Linked DNA regions of Danio rerio. The protein of the gene in region 1 purifies or fractionates together with the protein of each later gene. This does not show direct contact. Links are inferred from orthologs where the notes say so. Each region holds a gene or a part of one and is shown in the gene's direction. Other genes may lie near its edges.

What was found. The genes of interacting proteins can lie anywhere in the genome.
Region 2: the proteins of ccnl1b (region 1) and csnk2a2b purify together in Homo sapiens (affinity purification with mass spectrometry; 4 studies listed by BioGRID and IntAct, with this or other methods). This does not show direct contact. The link is inferred for Danio rerio from reciprocal best matches to the Homo sapiens genes CCNL1 and CSNK2A2.

The regions. Positions count from the first base shown.
Region 1 is NC_133177.1:39,650,260-39,654,532, reverse strand, and holds the start of ccnl1b (cyclin-L1), read left to right. Parts: upstream 1-1,473; 5' UTR 1,474-1,548; coding exon 1,549-1,791; intron 1,792-2,107; coding exon 2,108-2,182; intron 2,183-2,266; coding exon 2,267-2,376; intron 2,377-3,571; coding exon 3,572-3,689; intron 3,690-3,789; coding exon 3,790-3,854; intron 3,855-4,243; coding exon of another isoform or gene 4,244-4,257; intron 4,258-4,273. UniProt on the Homo sapiens protein: Involved in pre-mRNA splicing. Functions in association with cyclin-dependent kinases (CDKs). Inhibited by the CDK-specific inhibitor CDKN1A/p21. May play a role in the regulation of RNA polymerase II (pol II).
Region 2 is NC_133200.1:14,573,496-14,576,995, reverse strand, and holds part of csnk2a2b (casein kinase II subunit alpha'), read left to right. Parts: intron 1-2,054; coding exon 2,055-2,203; intron 2,204-2,282; coding exon 2,283-2,359; 3' UTR 2,360-2,365; intron 2,366-3,500.

The DNA.
Region 1 (4,273 bases):
GCAGCTTTTCAGCAGACAGTAGACAAATACTCTAATGACAATTTTGCAAAGTAACATAGTAAACGTGTGTCTGGCGACCATCTAAATAAAATTATTCACAATTTTTTAAATTAATAATATCAAACATCCACTTTCTTAATCAACAAAACAGAATTATAGATTGAACACAAATCACTGCTCTGTTGAAGAAAATATGCATTTCCAACCTGTGATTATTTCCTCCTTGTCATTGATATAAAAAGGTCAAGATTTTAAAGGAGTCAACAGTGATCTTTATATGTGCTGTTGAGCATGCGTCAAGGCATATCATGTCCCCTCAGTGAGCTGTCTCATCAGTTTCTGTGATGAGTCCTCATCATGGTGGAGGTCTCAGTTTTGATGGTGTGATTACTTTGGTACTTGGCAAGATAGTAATGGATTATGTCACATGCCTGTGGGAACCTGCTGCATCTATCTATCTATCTATCTATCTATCTATCTATCTATCTATCTATCTGTCTATCTGTCTATCTGTCTGTCTGTCTGTCTGTCTGTCTGTATTAGTTTAGATTAATGACCAACAGAAACGACTAAATAAATTTAAAAATGAAGCAGTAGAACTATTAAAATAAAATCAAAAAGTCAAGCTAAATAGGTATGTTTTTAGGAGTGATTAAAAATAGACAGATTGAGCCATTCTAATCTCAATTTTATTTAATCATATGGTCATTAGTCAGTCATACTGTATAATTGTCATTTTATGGACTATTAGTTAATGATTTTATTATTATTATAGAGTATTATTTGTAATTGTGTCTTTATATTTTATTATTATTATTGAGTATTATTTGTAATTTCGTCTTTATATTTTATGATTATTTTCCTATAATAATTTGCTCAATATTATTGAATATTTCCATATTGTTATAATCTTATGGATTCAAGCGACACTTGTTTTTAAGCATAAGAGATGAGAGAATGTCTTCATTTCAAGGTCTGTATTGTCTCTGGACAATGTTGTGAAACAGTCATTTCCCATTGCTGTTGCTTATATGGTATAATAACACTTGTTGGATTTATTCTTTTCAGACAAACTCTTAGCATTGGATCATACAAAACTAAGATTATTCAATAAACTCTGCTCTTTCTCTATCATCATTACTTTGTCTCCTGCTTCTGCTCCTCCGGCTTATTAGTTACTCAGTCAACTCCTACTGTAAATCGATAGGAGACTGTTAATTTAGTTGAATCTATCTATATGTCTGTCTGAGAACATATATCGTATCAGGTCAGTTCATATCACATCAAATACTTACATTCTTTTTTCTAAATTTAAAATATAGCAATGTGTAGGCTATAGATTATAAGCACATTAGATTCTTACATTCTCGCAAAACACCAACACAACATCGCGGTATTCTACGGGATTTCACTGTTCCAACGCAACGAGTGACGTCACAAACGTTGACGTCACTTCCGCCGTTGAAGTGCGTCAATCGCGAAACGTTGCCATTTCCGCCTGGCAGACGAAAGGTCTACGTTTTGTGATAGCGAGTTACACCATCAAATATGTCTCTTGGCATGTTATCTCCTCATCTGAACACTCCACCACCAAATAACCAGGGCATTCTTATTGGCGATAAAGTGTATTCGGAGGTGTTTCTGGCCATCGACAACTCGATCATACCCGAGGACAGGCTGAGCACGACCCCGTCCATGCTGGATGGCCTCGACCATGAGACCGAGACAGACCTACGGATTCTGGGCTGCGAACGCATTCAGTCAGCCGGGATTCTCCTTCGTCTGCCACAGGTTAGTGTTGAAGTGTGTTTATATTCAGGAATTAACGTTAGTTCGTTTGCTCGGCTCACAGTTATCTAACGTAAACGCCTTAACTAGGCGCTTAGCATAGCCGGCTAACTTAGCCGAAACCGGCACAGTGAAACCGGCGGCCTTTGTCTTCCATAGAGTCCTTCAAGTGGCTCGAGACACATTTTTGAGATGCTGTTAAAGATGATTCTCGTTATTTGTTATATTTTTTAGCGATATTATAATTATGTTGAATGTTATTTACGTCAATTGTTTACGAGAATGTGGTTGTTGATATTGTTTTATGTTTTTTGCGTAGGTGGCGATGGCGACGGGACAAGTAATTTTTCAAAGATTCTTTTTCTCGAAGTCCTTCGTAAAGCACAACTTTGAGGTAAGTTAGAAATACATAATATTGTTAAATACCTGACTAAGACCATCTCATGAAAACTTTGAACCTGGTTTCGCTTTAAAACAGATTGTTGCTATGGCCTGCGTGAACTTGGCTTCAAAGATTGAGGAGTCGCCAAGACGAGTGAGGGATGTGATCAACGTTTTCCACCATTTGAAACAAGGAAAGGGTAAAAAGTAAGTCGAACGCATGATTTTAAGTTTTTGTTGTATTTATGTTTTAAGAAGTAGTTTTATTTACCCAGGAAAGTGTTATAAAGCCGCAATATACAGTAGTTAATGTCTGAAGTTAACTAAAACCTGTCATCAAAGTTGTCCTATAAGGAACGTTATTAAATAACATTCTTTCTTGCCTTAAAACAAGTTTGAAAAACTTTGTACATTTTATTGTACATGTTAATGGATTTCAATTTACTCTTCAAAATTTCTGCCTATTGTCAATATTAGTGTTGCTGTTAGATTGTGTCAGCGATTAAATCTGTGAGGATTTTTTTTTGTTTAGTCTTTTGAGGTGATTTTTAACACTTAAAATAAGAACAGTTTTAAATAAACAAAATAGCATATTATAACTAGTATGCATTAGCTTAACATTGAAATAGCCATAGAAGCTAGCTTAACAATAAACAAAAAAAATTAAAATACAACCTGTCAAACCTTCTAAGTAAAAGCTGGAGTTATAGAACACACCTACCTGTTACATAATCTACCAGTGTTAGTTTACAGCTGTTTTCCAGCTTAAGTGAACTTTTTTGCTTTGGCCGGTGGTTTTAAACTATTGAAATGAATTTTAGTTTTGATTAAATTCAAAATGTCAGACCAGTTCGGTCTTCAAAACATGTTGGTCACTTAATCCATCATTTAAACTGCCCTGTTTTCTGATTAAATGAAATATAAATTTCTAGTTCTGAAACGATTTTGGAAATTTTGTAGATTTTTTTTCTGTTGACATAAGTGAAAAAGATTACGTTGATATTTTAGGAAAATTTAAAACAAATCAGTGGATGTGGATATCATTGTAGGTATGAGTTCTAAATTGTTTTTTTAAATGTCTTGTTAAAAACAACTACTTCCCCCATTGAACTCAATATATTTAGTTAAGAATCATTTAAAATATTTTGGAACCGTAGCTTTTGATGTGGAGGGTCCTTTCCTGCGGAACATATTGTTGCCCAAATAAATAAAATAGTCGCTAAAAACACGTTAAATAAACTGTAGATATACCATAGGAACAGTATAACAGAAATTTAAAACCTTGACTTTTTCCAAACTGTGGTAAACCTTAAAACAGTTTATTATCCCATGTCTGTGTCATAGATGTAATGTTTCATGTTCAACAATAGCTAATTAATTTTTTTTCTATTTGTTGATACAGGAGCACACCCCTCATTCTTGATCAAAATTACATTAATACCAAGAACCAAGTTATTAAAGCTGAGCGTCGTATCCTGAAGGAGCTGGGCTTCTGTGTTCATGTCAAACATCCACATAAGGTGAGTTTTGTTTACTATCAGTTAAAATGTTGTTATTGCTTGTCTTCTGTGCATTGAAATCCTTATTGCATCTCTTAAAATTTGTTTTCTATCATTTTAGATTATAGTCATGTACCTGCAAGTGCTGGAATGTGAGAAGAATCAGATGCTGGTTCAAACAGCATGGTAAGTGTTTTCATCTACCTCTGGACTTTATGGAAATGCCCTTTAAATTATGACTTGGAATTTTTTCCCCTTATAGAGGAGACATTGGATCAGGTTTTTGGTTGGACTTATGCTCTGTTTCCACTAGTAGCTTTCTTTATTTGCTAAGAGCTTGACCTTTTGTGAAAGAGCTTGAAACTTAGATATCAACAGGACCTAGTGGAAACACTGCATTATAAAGCATGAAATGCATTGTAGCTTGGTATGCCTAAAGGTAAGATTAGGTTCACACTATTCAGTCTTCTTTGTCAATGCAGGATAACCATGTGTTGTTGACTTGTTGCACATTGAGGTTATGGCTTATGGAGAGCTCTGCTTAACTTTGTCCTTTCTCTACTCTTTGATTAAAGGGTAGCCCATGGTGGTAAGTGTCACAGAAA
Region 2 (3,500 bases), on another chromosome or scaffold:
TTTGGAAACAGGATCAAAATTGTTAGGCCAAGAATCATTTGAAGGATCAAGATTATTTTCCATAGAGATATTTAGTTAATTTGCTACCATAGATGCATTTAAAATGTCATTTTAATGTGCACTTCATTTAGTCTGCTTTTTTTTTTCTCAATAATTAGTTTTTTTTTAGAACCTCAGATTTTCAAGTAGTTGCATCTCAGCCAGTTATTGTTCCGTTCTAACAAACTTTACATCAATATAAAGCTTATTTATTCTGGTGTAAAGCACTTAATTTACACCTAAGACCTGTTTTGTGCTCCAGGGACACATTTCACAAATATTTAGGATTTTATTTTTACAAAAACATAGCAGATACTTGCATTTAATAATCTTTCTATGTAAATAAAAGCATTAGTAGCAAATAAAGTACATACAGTAATTTATTAATTTTATAAAAGATTAACTATTATATATATATATATATATATATATATATATATATATATATATATATATATATATATATATATATATATATATATATATATACTCTCAGCGGCCAATTTATAAGGTATACCTTACTTGTACAGGGTTGGACCCCATTTTACCTTCAGAACTGCCTTAATCTGGAAATATTCCTCAGAGATTTTGGTCCATATTGACATGATAGCATCACGCAGGTGCTTCCGATTTGTCGGCTGCACATCAGTTATGCAAATCTCCCCTTTCACCACATCCCAAAGGTGCTTCATCGGGTTGAGTTTTAGTGACTGGATGTCATTTGAGTACAGTGAACTCATTGTCATGTTTAAGAAACCAGTCTGAGATTATTCGCGCTTTATGACGTGGCGCATTATCCTGCTGGAAGTAGCCATCAGAAGATGAGTACAGTGTGGTTATAAGGGCATGGACATGGTCAGCAACAATACTCAGGTAGGCTGTGGTGTTGATATGCTGCTCAATTGGTACTAATGGACCCAAAGTGTGCTAAGAAAATTTCCCCCACACCATTACACCACCACCACCAGCCTGAACCGTTGATGGGCTGAATGGATCCATGCTTGCATGTCGTTGATACCAAATTCTGACCCTACCATCAGAATGTCGCAGCAGAAATCGAGACTCATCAGACCAGACAACGTTTTTCCAATCTTCTATTGTCCAATTTTGGTAAGCCTGTGCGAATTGTAGCCTCAGTTTCCTGTTCTTAGCTGACAGGAGCAGCAACCGGTGTGGTCTTCTGGTGCTCTAGTCTATCCACCTCAAGTCCGACGTGCCATGCGTTCAGAGATGCACCCACAGAACTGCTGCTCACTGGATATTTTATTTTTTTCTGACCATTTTCTGTAAACCCTAGAGATGGTTGTGCGTGAAAATACCAGAAGATTAGCAGTTTCTGAAATACTCAGACCAGCCTGTCTGGCAACAAACCATGCCATGTTCAAAGTCACTTAAATCACCTTTCTTCCCCATTCTGATGCTCAGATTGAACTGCAGCAGATCGTCTTGACCATGTCTTCTTGCCTAAATGCATTGAGTTGCTGCCATGTGATTGGCTGATTAGAAATTGGCTGATTCGAAATTTGCGTTAATGAGCAGTTGGACAGGTGTACCTAATAAAGTGTATAAATATATGTGTATGTGTAACTATGTGTAGCTAATATTAAAATTACATTGTTGAGGGAGATAAAGATTCCAGTTGTGTTACTGTAAGTCACTTTTTTAATGTAATATTAGGCCACTCGTTACCATAAATTAAAGATGTGATTTATCCACAACACTAATAAAAAAATTCCTTTATGTATTTTATGTAGAAAAAGGTGTGTGTGTGTGTGTGTGTGTGTGTGTGTGTGTGTGTGTGTGTGTGTGTGTGTGTGTGTGTGTGTGTGTGTGTGTGTGTGTGTGTGTGTGTGTGTGTGTGTGTGTGTGTGTGTATGTGTGTGTGTGTACATATTGCTGTAGTAATTTATAGTAAAATTAACAAGTAAAATAAAGTACGAAGTAAAAGTAAAATAAACAAGCATAAATAAATATGGTACAGTATTTATTAAATTTTTCCTTTCGTGTCCCCACAGGCAGACACGGAAGCGCTGGGAACAATTTGTGCAGACGGAGAACCAGCATTTGGTGAGTCCAGAGGCTCTGGATCTTCTGGACAAGCTGCTACGCTACGACCATCAGCAGAGACTGACCGCCACCGAGGCCATGGAGCACCCTTATTTCTGTGAGTTCCTCAACCTAATGACTGCTGACCGCTGCTGCAGACACAATGAATAACATCTACAATCCATATGTGCGTGCAGATCCAGTGGTGAAGGAGCAGTCTCACACTAATGCAGACGGCACTATAGTGTCAAGCGGAACCAACACACCCCGATGAGAGCAGGTATCAATCACTGATCAGTCAATATTCACATATGTGCTTTTAACTCTTGCAATCTTTTGGTTTTCAACAACATTCTAGATTTGTATATGCATATAAAGAATATATTTTAATATATATTGTTAATCTTGAAGTACAATATTGGATTAATATTATTACTAGAAATAATAGTATAGTACGAATGCTAGTTTTAAAACAAAAATCTTATTCATGTTGATTTTCTATTTAAATTTTTAAGTACATGTATTTTTTTTTAGATCTGGAAGACATTGGTTTATATTTAAAAACATAGAACGTTTAATAACATATAAAAGTTTAAATGCAATCATGCTGTACATCAGTGCTATTTTAGTGTTATTTATATACTCTATTTATTAATATTTCAATGTTTATGCAACTGTTCCCAACAGGCACACAACGTCATAAGACATTAATGTTAGGTTAGATTTAGGTCTTGATGTCAGATGACCAAAATTCAACGTCTAGCCCAGTGTCATATATGATGTATTGTCAAAAGCCCTGATCTTTTGGAATATGCTGCACTTAAAAAAATAGGTAGTATAACATTCATTTTGTTTTCCAAGTGCTTAAAATGACCACATACATCACGCTCATTCCACTTAATGCAGCTTTTGTGTCGAGTCCTTCAATAGTCAGCTGTTCAGCAGTAACTGTTTCTAGGTGGTAGTGGGACTGTTATCACACGGCAAGTGTTAAACAAAATCCAGTCACACGTCATTCATTCATTATTTTGAGGAGCTGATGAACTAATAATACAACTGTTTCACAAAAAAATCTACTTAATATTTGTTTACACAATGTAAAATGTGTGTAGAAAAACTGTAATCAATACAATGTGCATCATATTAAAGTAAATACATGCAAATTATTCAGAAAAATGTCATTTGTACTAGCTTTATAGATATGATATAGATATCCAGAAACATTTCTCTAGATATGATATAGCCAGTCACATCTGTTTCTGTAATTGTTAAATCACAGTGAGTTTATGCTCTCCTTTGGGACTAAGCCCCTTATCCGACTCTAGCAACATCCCTGGTCTAGCCACTGTCTAAGGATGTTTTTTTAACGTCCCAGAACGATTTCAGATGACGTTGATTTTAGGTTGTGTTGGAAA